Linked DNA regions of Pelodiscus sinensis. The protein of the gene in region 1 purifies or fractionates together with the protein of each later gene. This does not show direct contact. Links are inferred from orthologs where the notes say so. Each region holds a gene or a part of one and is shown on either strand. Other genes may lie near its edges.

Evidence for each region. Proteins that work in one complex are often made in the same cells at the same time.
Region 2: the proteins of EXOSC9 (region 1) and DIS3L purify together in Homo sapiens (affinity purification with mass spectrometry; 3 studies listed by BioGRID and IntAct, with this or other methods). This does not show direct contact. The link is inferred for Pelodiscus sinensis from reciprocal best matches to the Homo sapiens genes EXOSC9 and DIS3L.

Annotation. Positions count from the first base shown.
Region 1 is NC_134715.1:37,047,271-37,054,754, reverse strand, and holds the start of EXOSC9 (exosome complex component RRP45), read right to left. Parts: upstream 3,019-7,484; 5' UTR 2,925-3,018; coding exon 2,859-2,924; intron 2,717-2,858; coding exon 2,622-2,716; intron 1,805-2,621; coding exon 1,685-1,804; intron 1,560-1,684; coding exon 1,457-1,559; intron 471-1,456; coding exon 333-470; intron 1-332. UniProt on the Homo sapiens protein: Non-catalytic component of the RNA exosome complex which has 3'->5' exoribonuclease activity and participates in a multitude of cellular RNA processing and degradation events.
Region 2 is NC_134724.1:4,766,526-4,773,625, forward strand, and holds the start of DIS3L (DIS3-like exonuclease 1), read right to left. Parts: upstream 3,014-7,100; 5' UTR 2,974-3,013; coding exon 2,844-2,973; intron 1-2,843. UniProt on the Homo sapiens protein: Catalytic component of the RNA exosome complex which has 3'->5' exoribonuclease activity and participates in a multitude of cellular RNA processing and degradation events.

The DNA.
Region 1 (7,484 bases):
TCCTAAAAATTCATCAAAACTTGATTCTTGCTCTTTTTAAAATGTTTTCCAAAATATTACCTATGTAGGTAACTATACTGCATCCACCATAGAGCCAATGGAGCGTTTCCAGTTTGATTGAGAAATACAAAAGAGTGCTATAAAATTGTCTTCCTTATTTAATGTTTAAATAGTTACGATCTCTCAAACTGAAAACCAAGAACTGTTTTAAGTAGCTCTTCCCCTAAGATTTAATTTGTCTTTATTGACAAAGATCCATTTTATATACAGAAGCTATCATGAATGATGTTTTAACTTCAACAATACCACTGCTTTCCTTTTATCCTACTCACCAACGTTACTTCCTCTCCTTGCACAGATACATCTGGTCTACGGAAGTGACATAAAGCCACTATTGCTGCTATACTTGCAGCATCAATAATGTTTCCATCGTGATTCAACAAATGCAGGTCCACACGAATTTGCCACACCTAAATTATAAAAAATAGGTGACAATTCATGAAACTGTTGTATGACTGGTAACTTGTATTGATTTTCCAACACCTTTTCAAAATAACTTTTTACTATTCATGTTGAATGGAAGTATAAATTTATTTCTTGATCATCAAAAAATTAGGATAAAACATATCTGAAGAGAAATAGTATCTACTTTCAATACTGATTGCGATAAATTAAAATTGAAATATGATTTCATGCAAGTAATTAGCTTTAGCATGTATATAGTACCTGTTCGAGAAAATAGGTGACCCAGGAGCGGATGGGTTAAAGGGACCTTTGTATTGCTTACGCATGTTTACTTTGGACCCCCAACAAAATTTTCCAAGTGGCAATGATTTGGCACCAGTTACACTCGTTTATCTATTTTGGTATGTTAATTCTCACATTTATTACTACTTTTTATAAACTCTTATTTAGCAAAGTTAACTTCCATACAATGAATATTAATAAGCAGGTGATGAATACAATTATGCCAACCTCTGTTTGTTGTTTACTGGTTTTTAATTAAATTAGCATTACATACTGTCTTAATTAGCAGCTTACAGGGAGGGGGGAAGTGCTCTGACCCTTCAAGTATTTTTACAGAGCAAGTGTAAAGACAAAACAAAGAAAACGGTATTCAGTGCAACTATCTCCCTAGGCTTCAAGGACAAAAGGGAAAAAAATATACACAAAAAGCCAAAATGCTTGCTCTGGCTAGAACCCCTATCACTATTGTATCTACCCCCCCACACCCCGATCCCTATTCATTTTTACATATCCCAACAGTCCCACTGACTTTTAATCTACTATGTACAATCTTTAAAGTTAGACACATATCTATGTTTGCACAGCTGAAACCATAGTCTTTTAAAATAAAATCAGAATTTTTGGTCCTCAAAGACAGATTGACCGCTACATGCAATATATTAGTCCTCTAGTATTAAAGATCTTTTGATTTTATTAGTGTTTTTCACACCTTTACACCAGCAACAACACAGAGAGATTCAGTGTCTATACATTTTGAGTTTCTGAGGCATCTTTCTAATAGTCGATTCAGTTTCACCAAAAGCTCAGATTGCCTAGAAAAACAAACAAGAGATTGGTTACATATCAGTTGTGAGTTATAATAATCCTGATAAATATGACACTGAATAGCTTTCCTTATGCCATCCTTGTCTGTTGTCACTATGGAAAGGGCACATACCTGCCAGGCTCAAAAGATGGTGAAGCCATTGGAGAGAGCTCAAGATTGAAGAAAAGTATACCCTCTGTAGCTCGATTTAGCTTTGGAGAAACAAGTTCACATGAAACTTGTCCAAGGACTCTGCAAAAGAACCCCGCCCCCCACACAAACCCTTTAGTATAGATAACAAAATACTTTAGTATAGATAACAAAAATAATATTTAATTAAATTTAATATTGAAACAACTTGCACCTGAATTTTACTGCATGGCTCCAATTTATTACTGCTTATGTAAGCCTTGGCCATACAGCTAAAATGCTAGTCACTAATAGGGAACAAGCAAGAGCTAGATGTGAAGAGCACACACTGGACACTCAAATTCCTCGGCTTTATTATCAATTCTACTGCTGTGTGAGTGCCAACAATTTACTTGTGTCCAGTGTAAGCTGTGTGCTTGTGTGGCTTGCTCAGGAGAGATTTAAAGGCCTTCTGGCTGATTGGAAGAATGCCTACAACTAGTTTTTTCCTCCTACCGGTGGTGCTCATTCAAACATGCCTCAGTGTGCATAACATAATTTATTCCACACATGGATGGGAAAAGATTAAGGGAAACATCGCTTATGATTACTTCAGCTCCTCCAGTCTATACCATAGAGCTACCACCTACTTCGCACAGGTGCTGCAAATTTGCTTAATTCGAGATGTCGGGCCGGAGGGATTAATGAGTTGCCACTAGCCAAGGTCAGGTCTACATGCACGTGACTGGCTCATCTGCCGCTTCCGACGCGGTAGCTTCGGACACCTCCAGGGAGACCGATCTCAATTTGTTCTCCTCTCTCCCCCCCTCCCCCCATTCATCGCTGTCGCCTCCCCCAGGCTGTGGCGGCCCCGCACCGCGTGCGCGAGCGTCATGGGAGCCCTGCGCCGGGCGCACGGGGCGGGGTTTCCCCGCGGTACCTGGTCCTGCCCAGCTCCACGACACAGCAGCCGTAGTCGGCGCCGAAGGAGACGCGCACGTTCCTGTAGTCGTAGCTCTGCCGCCCGTCCAAGCGCTGCGGAGCCGAGAGCAGAGTCACCAGCTGCGCGGGGCGGGCGCAGCATCGGGCCCCGAGCGCCCATGGGAGGGAAGGGGAGGGGGGGGCTTGGCCGGTGGCGGCGCCGCCGCCGAGTGGGGGGGGGATTTCTCTCTCGTACCTTCCTCTCCTCGATGGCGCGCAGCAGGAAGCGCCGCTCGCAGTTGGACAGCGGCGTCTCCTTCATGCTGGCGAGGCTTGGCGGTCTCCGGGCCCGCTTCTCCGCGCGCGCGCCTCCCGCACGTCATCAAGAGGCGACGGGACAGGCGGACAGCCGTGCGCAGGCGCGGAAAGGAGGGGGCGAGGCACGGCATTAGGAGAGCGTCACCGCTCCTTTCGCTAGCCGTGGTGACGTCGCCGCCGCCCGGGCGCGTCTGGGGCCACAGCGCCGGTATTCTACGTCAGCAGCCGCAGGCTGAGTCTCCACAGCCTGCAGAGCTGGGGGGAGGGGTGTCTGTGACGTGGGACGCGCGGACAAATGTGTCCGGCCCAGCCAGGTGCGCCCGCGAACATTCCACCTTCACCCCGCCGGCCGGTCTCGCAACACGCTGCCCCGTTGTGTAGGCAGGGGGGGTGCTGCCTAGCAGCATCGCCGCTGCTTCCTGCACAGTGGCAGGCTCGGGGTAGCTGTGCAATCTGTACCTAAACAATACTCACTGTCAGAATATGGTCTGAAGAAGCGGGTCTGCCCCACGACGCTCATCCCCTAATAAACTGCTTTGTTAGTCTTTGAAGTGTTAGGACATGGCTGCTTTTTTGTTTTTTTGAAAAAGGGTAAAACAAGGAATAGCCCTGTCGCACCTTAGAGATTAACCAAAAATAGAGATCCTATCATGAGCTTTCCTAGACATAACCCACTTCTTCAGATGCCATCTGAAGAAGTAGGTTGTGCCCATGAAAACTCATATCATCCACATTTTTTTGTTTTGTTTTGGTTAGTCTCTAAGGTGTTGCAGGAGCATTTGTTGTTATTTAAGTTTTTTATTTTATTTTGGGGGAGGTTAGATAGTTGAGGTAAATTGGAGCTAAGTAACAAGATAGAACATTGGGTGTGTCAACACAGCAAAGTTATTTCGGAAGAATGGCTGTTATTCAGAAATAACTGAGTAGCTAAGCAGCAATTCTATTATTTCGAAATGATTTTGAAATAATGGACAGCTTAATTCAACTTCTGTAAACCTCATTCTAAGAAGAATAACGCCTATTCCGAAATAGCTGTTTTGAAATAAGGCATGTGTAGACATTCCACTTGTGCTATTTCGAAATAGCCCCTCGCTAGGGCCATTCTTAATTATTCTTCCTGAGGCTCTAAATTGAGATAACACATCTACATTAGGGAAGCCTGCCTTGGACTAATTTTGAGACTTCCCTGTAGTGTTGGTGTGCTATTTTGAAATAAGCTATTTCAGAATAACTACAGGCAGTCCCCGGGTTACGTACAAGATAGGGACTGTAGGTTTGTTCTTAAGTTGAATCTGTATGTAAGTCGGAACTGGCATCCAGATTCAGCCGCTGCTGAAACTGACCAGCGGCTGACTACAGGAAGCCCGAGGCAGAGTTGCTCTGCCCCGGGCTTCCTGGAATCGGCCGCTGATCAGTTTCAACAGGCTTAATCTGGACGCCAGTTCTTACATACAGATTCAACTTAAGAACCCCAGGCGTCCCCAAGTCAGCTGCTGCTGAAACTGATCAGCGGCTGATTCCAGGAAGCCGGGGCAGAGCAACTCTGCCTCGGGCTTCCTGTAGTCAGCGCTGGTCAGTTTCAGCAGCAGCTGACTTGGGGACGCCTGGGGCAGAGCAGCTTGGGTGCTGCCGGGTTGCTCCAGTAGCGCCGCTCTTCGGCGCTACTGGACCAACCCACCAGCACCCAAGCTGCTCTGCCCCTGGCGTCCTGATTCAGCCGCTGCTGAAACTGACCAGCAGTGGCTGAATCAGGACGCCTGGGGCAGAGCAGCTGGGGTGCTGCCGGGTTGGTCCAGTAGCGCCCAGAGCGGCGCTACGGGACCAACCGGCAGCGCCCCGGCTGCTATACCACAGGCATCCAGAGCAAAGCCGCGGAGCACGGGGGCAGCGGGACAGCCGCGGCGCGTCTGGGCTGTCCGCTGCCCGCGTGCTCCGCGGCTTTGCTCCGCTTTGCTCCCCGTCTCCCTGGTCTGTGCGTCTGGGCTGTCCGCTGCCCGCGTGCTCTGCTGTTTTGCTCCCCATTTCCCTGGTCTGCTGGAGACCAGCAGACCAGGGAGACGGGGAGCAAAGCCTCTGAGGACGCCGGCAGCGGGACAGCCATGGCGCGTCTGGGCTGTCCGCTGCCCGCGTGCTCCCCGGCTTTGCTCCCCTTCTCCCTGGTCTGGGGAGACGTGGAGCAAAGCCGCGGAGCACGCGGGCAGCGGACAGCCCAGACGCGTCACGGCTGTCCCGCTGCCGGCGTCCTCAAAGGCTTTGCTTCCCGTCTCCCTGGTCTGCTGGTCTCCAGCAGACCAGGGAGATGGGCAGCAAACCCCGTTCGTAAGTGCAGATCCGACATAAGTCGGATCTGCGTAACTCGGGGACTGCCTGTATTCCAGAATGGCTTATTCTGAAATAACTGTGCAGTGTAGACATAGCCACTGAGAGTCAGGACTGTTGGCTGTAAACACAATTTACGGGACCATGGGAAATTTGGCCACACCCAGCATAAGTGAACATCTGGCTAACTAAAATCATGCCATGGTTGATGTTGGACCAGAGCGTGCTGGAGTAGAAATGTTCAACCCATACCTGGTAGAGATTTGGTTAAAAAGGCTAAACCACCACAAGAAGAATGTATCCAATATGTAGAAGTAGCGAAGACTTAGAGCTTTAGCCGTACCACATTAACAGTTACATCTTTGAGGATAGTTTTGGCTACGTCTGAAGTAACCATGAATAAAATAGCTATCATAAGACAGGCCACTGGTCATTTTCTACCTTATATTCATAATCTTGTAGTACAGTCCAATAATATATTAACTAACCAAAAACTAAAAATACTATACAGTTCCAAACTAGTGTGAAGCAGGGAAAGAAAAATCATTTTGCTGTGTTAAAAATGGTGCAAAATAATACCCACTGTCTACACAGCAAACATGCAATATTAAATAGATTGTAATTTGAGCCTCATTACTTGTCTAGCTTTTGTCCTCAATCCTGCAATTTGACTCATCACAGGTGCAGACATATGGGGAGCCAATTGCATTACTGCAGCCTTATTTGCTAATTGCAAAAGCTTTGGGTTTCAAAAGAAGCAGCTTTGATTTTTTTTTCTTATGAGTTAGATTTTAGTTCTAATTTGAAAGTACTATTAGTAATTTCTGTTATTGCTCTCGTTTGTCTATACTTTGCACAAAATATGTTAGGTTAAACACTACTGATCAAGCTAAACACTACAGTGAAGATTAACTTCAGTGCTTTATTCTCTTTCTCTGTTCAGAGCTCCAAGGTGTTTTTACAAACTCCAATTTAGTCCTGACCTTCTTTTAACTTGAGTATTTGTGCGTCTAAACTTTTTCTAACTTTCTTTGCTATTATATGCTGAACTGTTTCTAGATTTAGTTTATAAATTATAAATACAGGAGCTAGTGGAATTAATGCTTTCACAAACTCTGTGTTTTTATAATTTAACAACAGTATATGATGCATTTTATAGATTTGGCCTTTAGTAATAATCCTAGCCCCATCTCAATCTGCAAAAGACCCTACTGTTCCATTGTGAAAAGTGTAGAGGTTGGGATAAGATTATAGGATTGCCATATGTTTGGAATTGGTTTTTAAATCACTTTAGCTTCAACAGAAAAATGAGAAGCTGCTTTGGTTTTTTCCTTGTAATATTTTTTTAAACAGAGGTCTTTATTTAGATTATTTTGGTCTTTATTCGTTTTATTTTTTTAAATTAAGATTCTATATGTATTTTTGCTGATACAACTTGGGTCAGTGACAACGTACTCCTTTCGAAGAGTGACTGAGGGCCAGACACTCTGCCATTCCCTCCTGGATCCAGAGACGTGAGGTGAGTATGTGTGGTCCATAGTGATTTTGGCACTTACTGTGTCACCTACCTTGTTCTGCTTTCTGACTGGTGATGGCACTGGGCAAACCCCATCTCCTTCCTCTACTTCTGCAGGGAGCAGGAAATCCAGCCAGGGTCTGGCCAGACAATAGTGGCTCACTGACCCAATGCTCTCCTCTCAGACCTTTGTCTATAAGCCAGTAAGACAAGAAGCGGAGAGACTCCCACAGCCATCTTCCTACATTAACTCCCCCACTCGTGGCTTCTCCTTATGCCACATAGCAGTGGGTCTTGGTCAGATGCACAAATCATGGCAAATAGTGAGGTTTTAATGCGGGACTCTTAGTATCAGCCTCTTCCACTGGTTGCTGGATTGGAAACACTGAACGGGGAATAGGAATGGGCTCTTGTCCTGTCCCCTGGAATCCAGCCAACCCCACTCACTGAGCCATGTCATACACTACCAAACGGTCCTTTCCTTCCCCACCCTGTGTTCCTGTGTCCCAGGAGCCTGCTGTCCTGGTGTCAGTGCCCAGCACCACAGATCTTCTGCTTCATGGATGGTCAGGCCTTGGAGAGACACACAGGTCTCATTCTGCTTGTAATGTCTGAGTCCCTCCAATCTTATTGGTGGCTGTGCAGTGGGCAGAGTCCTCCCTGCATCCTTGGCCCAATAGAATTGCAGGATGTGGAGTAGACTGGAGACAGAGATACTCATCCCCCACC
Region 2 (7,100 bases), on another chromosome or scaffold:
CTCCCGCTCTGGGATAAGCCCTCTTGCGCAAGTATTCTTGTGCAAGAGGGCCAGTGTAGACAGGCAAGTTAATTTCTTGCGCAAGAAAGCCCGATGGCTGAAATGGCCATCGGAGCTTTCTTGCACAAGAGAGCGTCTACACTGGCACGGATGCTTTTGCGCAAAAGATGTCTTGCGCAAATACTTTTAACGGAAAAACTTTTCCGTTAAAAGTATTTGCACGAAATCATGCCAGTCTAGACGCAGCCCTCTTGTCTAACATCCTAGACAACAACAGGCTGCACTAACAGTTGAGCCACAATCACACATGCCTTCGCAACCCTCTTCCCCAAAAATAAATCAGAAAGTTTTTGTTCTAAATAATAGTTAAAAATTTAAACTAAAAATTTAAAAGTTTTTTTATTAAGGATGAGCAGCTGAACTAAGAGTTAATACATTTGAAATTGACTTGAAATTGATCTCTGCTATGTTGATTATCTAATATACTATGTACATGTATCAGAAAAGTCCATTGTACTTATAACAACCAAAACACTCAAAAAGGCTACCTCAGAATAACCTATTATGTACAACATGGTAGTGCACTACACAAAACATCATCAAATCCAGCAATCACAGAAACTGGCAGTCTTCCAATGTCTAAGACCAGCAAATACAATATGGATAATTAAATTTAATTACCTAAAAAGTTACTGATGGCACAAAATGGCAAGAATCATAGGGGTAGCTGTGTTACTCTACATCTGCAAAATGAATGAGGAGTCTCTTTATGGTGCTACCAGATCCCTTGTTGTTTTTATAAAAAGGCAGAAGTTTCAGTGTAAATTTTTTAGCCATGTTGAATATTTTAATATACATCAATATCATTTAATTCCAATTAGAAAAGAAAATTGAGTTTAAAAATGTCCTTAAAATGGGGGCAAAGACATAAGAATCTCAGGCCCAGGGGCTGGATGTGGCCCCTGGCTCGCCTGGATCCAGACCGCGAGGCTCAGGGCCCTCCCCCAGCACTGGGGAGCACACACCAGTGCTTCAGCCTCCCCACTACCCTGTTGTGGGGCTGCAGAACACAAAATCTACTAGGCTGGGCCCCTCTAGGCTATGGTGTGGGAAAGGAAAGTGGAGAGTATCTTTCTCCTTCTCGGTCAAGGGCCATGTCAGAGAGGGATTTTGCTTCTCACTTGTGTGTAGCCCCTGACTGATTTTTCTGTGGGTCCATGGCCCATAACCCAAAAAAGGCTCCCACCCCTGCTATAGCCCATAGCTACTGCACTGTTATAGGTAGTCCTATAGCTAGCCTTCCCCTTTCAATTCCCTTCTGTTCTTCTTCAGAATTGCATCTTCATTTACTTGTGCAGGTTTCTATTCTGCAAGGACATTTCGTTGTGCTACTGGCTGGTTTGGTACTCCCCCTCTTCTCTATTACTGAATCTGTTTTGTTCTGTAGGGTCTGCTTCCTCTGGAAATGATCTAGTTAACTTACAAGTGACAAAGCCTGTCAAGGCTGTTAGCAGAAGATTGAACCTGTGAACCATCTAAGTGGATGCATCCTGTAGGCCTTCCAAATGGTAAGGAAACCCGTATAACAGGCATTTGCCAACCCCAGTATATACCGTCAGTTTCTGAATTTACAGTCTCAGAGGGCTGTACCCACAAAAGATTGTGATACCATCTACATGTTTTGTTAGTCTTTAAAGTGCTGTTAGACTATTTGTTGTTTTTGTGAGTCTCTCCATATTTGTGTTATTCTCTAAGGCTACGTCTAGACTGGCATGATTTTCCGCAAATGCTTTTAACGGAAAAGTTTTCTGTTAAAAGCATTTGCGGAAAAGAGCATCTAGATTGGCATGGATGCTTTTCCACAAAAGCACTTTTTGTGGAAAAGCATCCGTGCCAATCCAGAAACGCTTTTCTGCAAAAAAGCCCCGATTGCCATTTTTGCGATTGGGGCTTTTTTGCGCAAAACAATCTGAGCTGTCTACACTGCCCTTTTGCGCAAAAGCTTTTGCGCAAAAGGACTTTTGCCCGAACAGGAGCAGCATAGTATTTCCGCAAGAAGCACTGATTTCTTACACGAGATCGTCAGTGTTCTTGCAGAAATTCAAACGGCCAGTGTAGACAGCTGGCAAGTTTTTCCGCAAAAGCAGTTGCTTTTGCAGAAAAACTTGCTAATCTAGACACAGCCTAAGGGTACGTCTACACTGCAACGCTATTTCTGGACACATCTCATGTCTTCACAGCAAGCCCATTATTACAGGCTCGCTCTCCCGACATCCCTGTAAACCTCCTTCTACAAGGCGTACGGGACGGGTCACCACGGGGCTTTATTTCGGAACTCGGCGCGGCGACGATACAAGACACGCAATGTGCTTCGCTCCCACGGCGCCTCTTATCTCGAGTCACCGGGCAGGGCAGACGCACCCCACAGGGCCTGGCGCTGGGTCATGAATGTGCCCGGGGGGAATCGACAGGACCCGCGTTTAACATTTGCTGGGCGAAATATTCCATGGGGGTGGGCAGAAGAGGACAAAATCCCAGCTCTAAAACTACCCCCCCCCCCCGCTGGTCTTGCTCTAAAACTACCCCCCCCCCCCCCCCGCTGGTCCTGCACTAAAACTGCCCCCCCCCCCGCTGGTCTTGCTCTAAAACTGCCCCCCCCCCCGCTGGTCTTGCTCTAAAACTGCCCCCCCCCGCTGGTCTTGCTCTAAAACTACCCCCCCCCCCCGGTCTTAGGGGCAGCAGTTTCAAGCAGGGGCCCGGCTCCCTGCCCCCTAAGGATCGCCCCGCCCACGCCCCAGCCGCTCCTGCCCCTGGCGCCCCCCGTGCCCCCGCGCCCGGCTCACCGCGGGGGCAGGCGGCCCGGCACAGGGCGCTGCGGCAGGGCACGTCGGGGCGCAGGTAGTGCTCGCGCACCACGCGCACCGAGCGGCCCGCCAGGCCCCGCAGCTGCAGCACCTTCTCCGTGCGCTGCATCGGCCGCGCGCCCGGGCCCGGCGGGAATGGCGGGAGGCGGCGCCAGCGCGCTACGCCGGAAGGGCGGGGCCTGCCTCGGGGGCGGGCGGGAGCGGCGGGGCCGCTGGGGGAGGGGCATGGCGAGGAGGGGGCAGGGATGGAGCTGGGGGGAGGGGAATGGCGAGGAGGGGGTAGGGATGGCGCTGGGGGGAGGGGCATGGCGAGGAGGGGGCAGGGATGGCGCTGGGGGGAGGGGAATGGCGAGGAGGGGGTAGGGATGGCGCTGGGGGGAGGGGAATGGCGAGGAGGGGGTAGGGATGGAGCTGGGGGGAGGGGAATGGCGAGGAGGGGGCAGGGATGGCGCTGGGGGGAGGGGAATGGCGAGGAGGGGGTAGGGATGGCGCTGGGGGGAGGGGAATGGCGAGGAGGGGGTAGGGATGGAGCTGGGGGGAGGGGAATGGCGAGGAGGGGGCAGGGATGGCGCTGGGGGAGGGGAATGGCGAGGAGGGGGCAGGGATGGAGCTGGGGGGAGGGGAATGGCGAGGAGGGGGTACGGATGGAGCTGGGGGGAGGGGAATGGCGAGGAGGGGACAGAGATGGAGCTGGGGGGAGGAGAATGGCGAGGAGGGGACAGAGATGGAGCTGGGGCAGGGGGATGGCGAGGCGGGGGGCAGGATGTGGGAGGGAGAGGGGGTAGCAAGGAGGGGGCCTGGATGGTGCTGAGGGAAGAAGAGGCTGGCTCAGAGGGGGGCAGGGATGGTATGGGGGAAGGGCCAGTGGTGAGGAGAGCAGAGATGGTGCTGGCAGGGGAGGGAGATCCTGGGTTACAGGAGACATCAAGCTTTCAGCCTTTGTCAATAATAGCCAGAAAGTGTCTGATAGTTAAAGGTCAGGGGATCAGGCTTTTTTCCCTCATTCAAAATCAAGCTGGGGTCAGCTGACCTAGAACAGGTAGTCTCTCCAGGAAGGAGCTTTCTACTTCAGTGGACAATGCCCATGTTTAGTGTAAATTCCCATGCATGAAGATTACCGCTGGAGGGATTCACAGGATCCCGATAAGCCCTGAACTCCAATATACACATACGTTTCGCTTAACCTGTGTACCATGCCCATTTTCATGTCAAACATTAGCTTTCCTAACAAATAATTAAATCTGTTGTTATCAGTTTAATACTTGATATGTTCTCTATCTGGGTGCTTAGGATCCCAACAAGGAGCCAGTGTGGACTACATATGGAGTCGGTTGACGCTTTGCTCAGCTGACGTGGCCGCTTGTAGTTTCCGACATCAACAGGTGGTCAAAGGACATTTACATGGAGCACATCACTTGACATTGACAGTACTGAGAGGCATAAGCAGGACCACCGACAAGGGATGCAGTCTAGGAAGTAGCCCAAATTCTTCCATGTCAGGCAGTACCTTCCTACCTGTGGCATAGTCACGGGTGGGCCTGGGTAGGCCTAGTCCACCTGCTTTTAATCCAGGCCCACGCAACCATGCTGGTTGGATGTGGGGGATGACCCTGCTGCACCCAGTGCTCTGACTGGGTAGCCGGGGCTCACCCTGCTGCGCCCAGCATTCCAGAGAGTGGGGCCAAGAGGTGCGGGCTCCCCTTTGACCCACGCTCCAGCCTGGGGAGCAGCCAGGGAGTGGGGCCAGGGCTGTCACCGTTCCATCGGTGCCCTGCCACCCAGCAGTCTAGCTGGGGAGTGGAGCTGGAGCTGACCCCTTGCTGTCAGCGGTCTGGCTAGGGAGCAGGGCTAGAGTGTGGGGGCTTACTGCCTCCATCATTGCCCACCCTCCCAAAGTCAGGGCCCACCCAAGTGGTCCTTTCTGGCTATGCCATTGCTTCCTACAGAGAGCCTACCCCAGATACTGACAGAATGAGAGAGAATCTCCACCCATTAATATATGTGGTTTCCATGGCTAATCCTCTATAAAACTTCCAGTGGATGATATACCCAAATGCTTATTCACTACTACCAGACTCTACTGCTAAACTCCTAAATCTGAGTCAGTGCTAATTGTAGTTTTTTTGCTCTGTTGTTTCTCACTCTCCTTCGTTTGGAGGAAGTTTCCGATGATAACACGATAAAACATGATGTGACCCTCAGAATATAAAACAATAATCAGGTGTGAGAAACTCAGGAAATGAAAGAAAGTAATCATATACTAGGCCTTTAGTCAGACATACTCAAAAACCTAGGAGGAAAATGCATTTATTTCCTGAGTTCTCCAACTAAATCAGGGAACTCAGCTGAAATTCAACCTATGTTCCTGAAAAAGCACCTGAAAATGACCTGTGGTGAGAGGATGCTCCTGTTAAGTTGGAAGAAGCTGAGCCAAACAGACGCCAAGAGAGAACCACTACGTGACCTTTCTCAAATGCCGCTGCCATGGCAAAATATACCATGTTACATAGGTTCTGACTTCTATTCTTGCCGAGGGGGTGCCCGGCCACTGCTCTTCACCAGCTCCCCCCCCCCCATACTCCACCCTTTCCCCCAAGCCCATACACCAGCTCATCTTTCCTCACATCCCCCAAGTACAGCGCGTGCCTCCCTGCTTCTTCATCTCCCTCCTGGAATGTCAGCATCCCGCCAATCAGCTGTTTGTAGCACTCTAGAAGCACTGGGAGGGAGGGAGAGAAGTTGGTTAAGTGTGGGGCTACCAGCGCATGAGTGGCGCAGAGTGCACAGCTTGGTGCCAATGGGTGCTCTGCACCCGCTACTTTTTCCCAGTGGGTGCTCCAGCCCCAGAGCACCCAGGAAGTCAGCTCTAATCCCATGATGAATAGCATCAAAGAGCTTACAAATACCCAGATACGGTAATAAAACATTTGCAGAAAACTTCTGTGGGTAGTTCACAGTCGTGCACGCCAAAAATTCTAACAAAGCAGAGCTGGCTTGCAATCATAGCTTGAGCTCAAACCAAGATTGATTTTAGGTCCATTGTATACCTGACTTGAATATTTTGCACAGCTGTAGAAAGAAGTGTCTTCGGACTTTTTTCTTTTTGAAAAAAAGGGAAATTATTTTGTGATTATGCATTGCTGTGCTTCCCATTTTCTCAGCAGGATGATCTCCCCTCTGCCATGAGCCTGCATCTTAGTTTTCAGGGTGCAGTTTCCGTTTATTGCCACTGGGAGACACCATTTCATTGATTTTGGATGAGAATACCAGTGTGTCCTCTGTTTAAAATTCAGCCTTTCAGGTGTTGTGATCAAAGTGCTGATAGTTGCTTGTAACAACACCAAGCAATTTCTACTCCAAAAGAAACTAACAAACTAGTAACTAAAGGCTGCTTTCTAATACAATAATAACCCCTCATGCTGCTACATGCCTAGATGTTTGTAATTATTGGAAGCATAAAAGCAATGTATTTACTATAATTCCTCATTTTTGGTATATTAATTCCATGATTCCCTCTTCCCTTTCATCTACAGATGAAATTTTGAAGCATGTTCTACATCATTAAATCAAAAAGTTGTACACTCTGTTGTTTCCCGTAATATTATACATCTTTAGCTCATTCCAATGTTTTATTCTTGTATTAACTGATGTATTATGCGTATTAAAAAGTCAAATACTGATTTAAAAAGCAATGGCCATGTTTATTCTGTCATCAAAACTACTAAACTTTAGCTGATATAAAGGTAAGGAGAAGCATCATTCACAGGTGATTTTAGATTGGAGGATATTAGCTGTAGCTTTTCATAAGATCTAATAAAACAAACGTAAACATAGTGGAAATAATTTGGTTATTTTTGGCCCAATTATGTAGCCTTTAATCAGGCAAAACTATCAAGATGTATTTGATCTGAATAGGGGTGTGAGCTTAAAACTTTTACAGTGAAATGATGCTTACATGAGCCTCATACCCTGTAGTAACCCCATTATAGTTGATAAATTTCACAGAATAATAGATGTCAGATGGAAAAGACCTGTTAGGTCACCCAGTGCATCCTCACCAAATTGGGATAGTCCAAGTTTGGAGTCATTTACTGTAGAACTTTTCCCTGTAAGGGATATTTATTTATAAAGTGCAGTAAACAGAAAATAGAACTGCAAGGATGACTTTTTTGCCCTCTCTTTCAAAATCTCAAGCTGAAATTCCTAGGTGAAACTGATGAATTCCTTCTTAGCCTC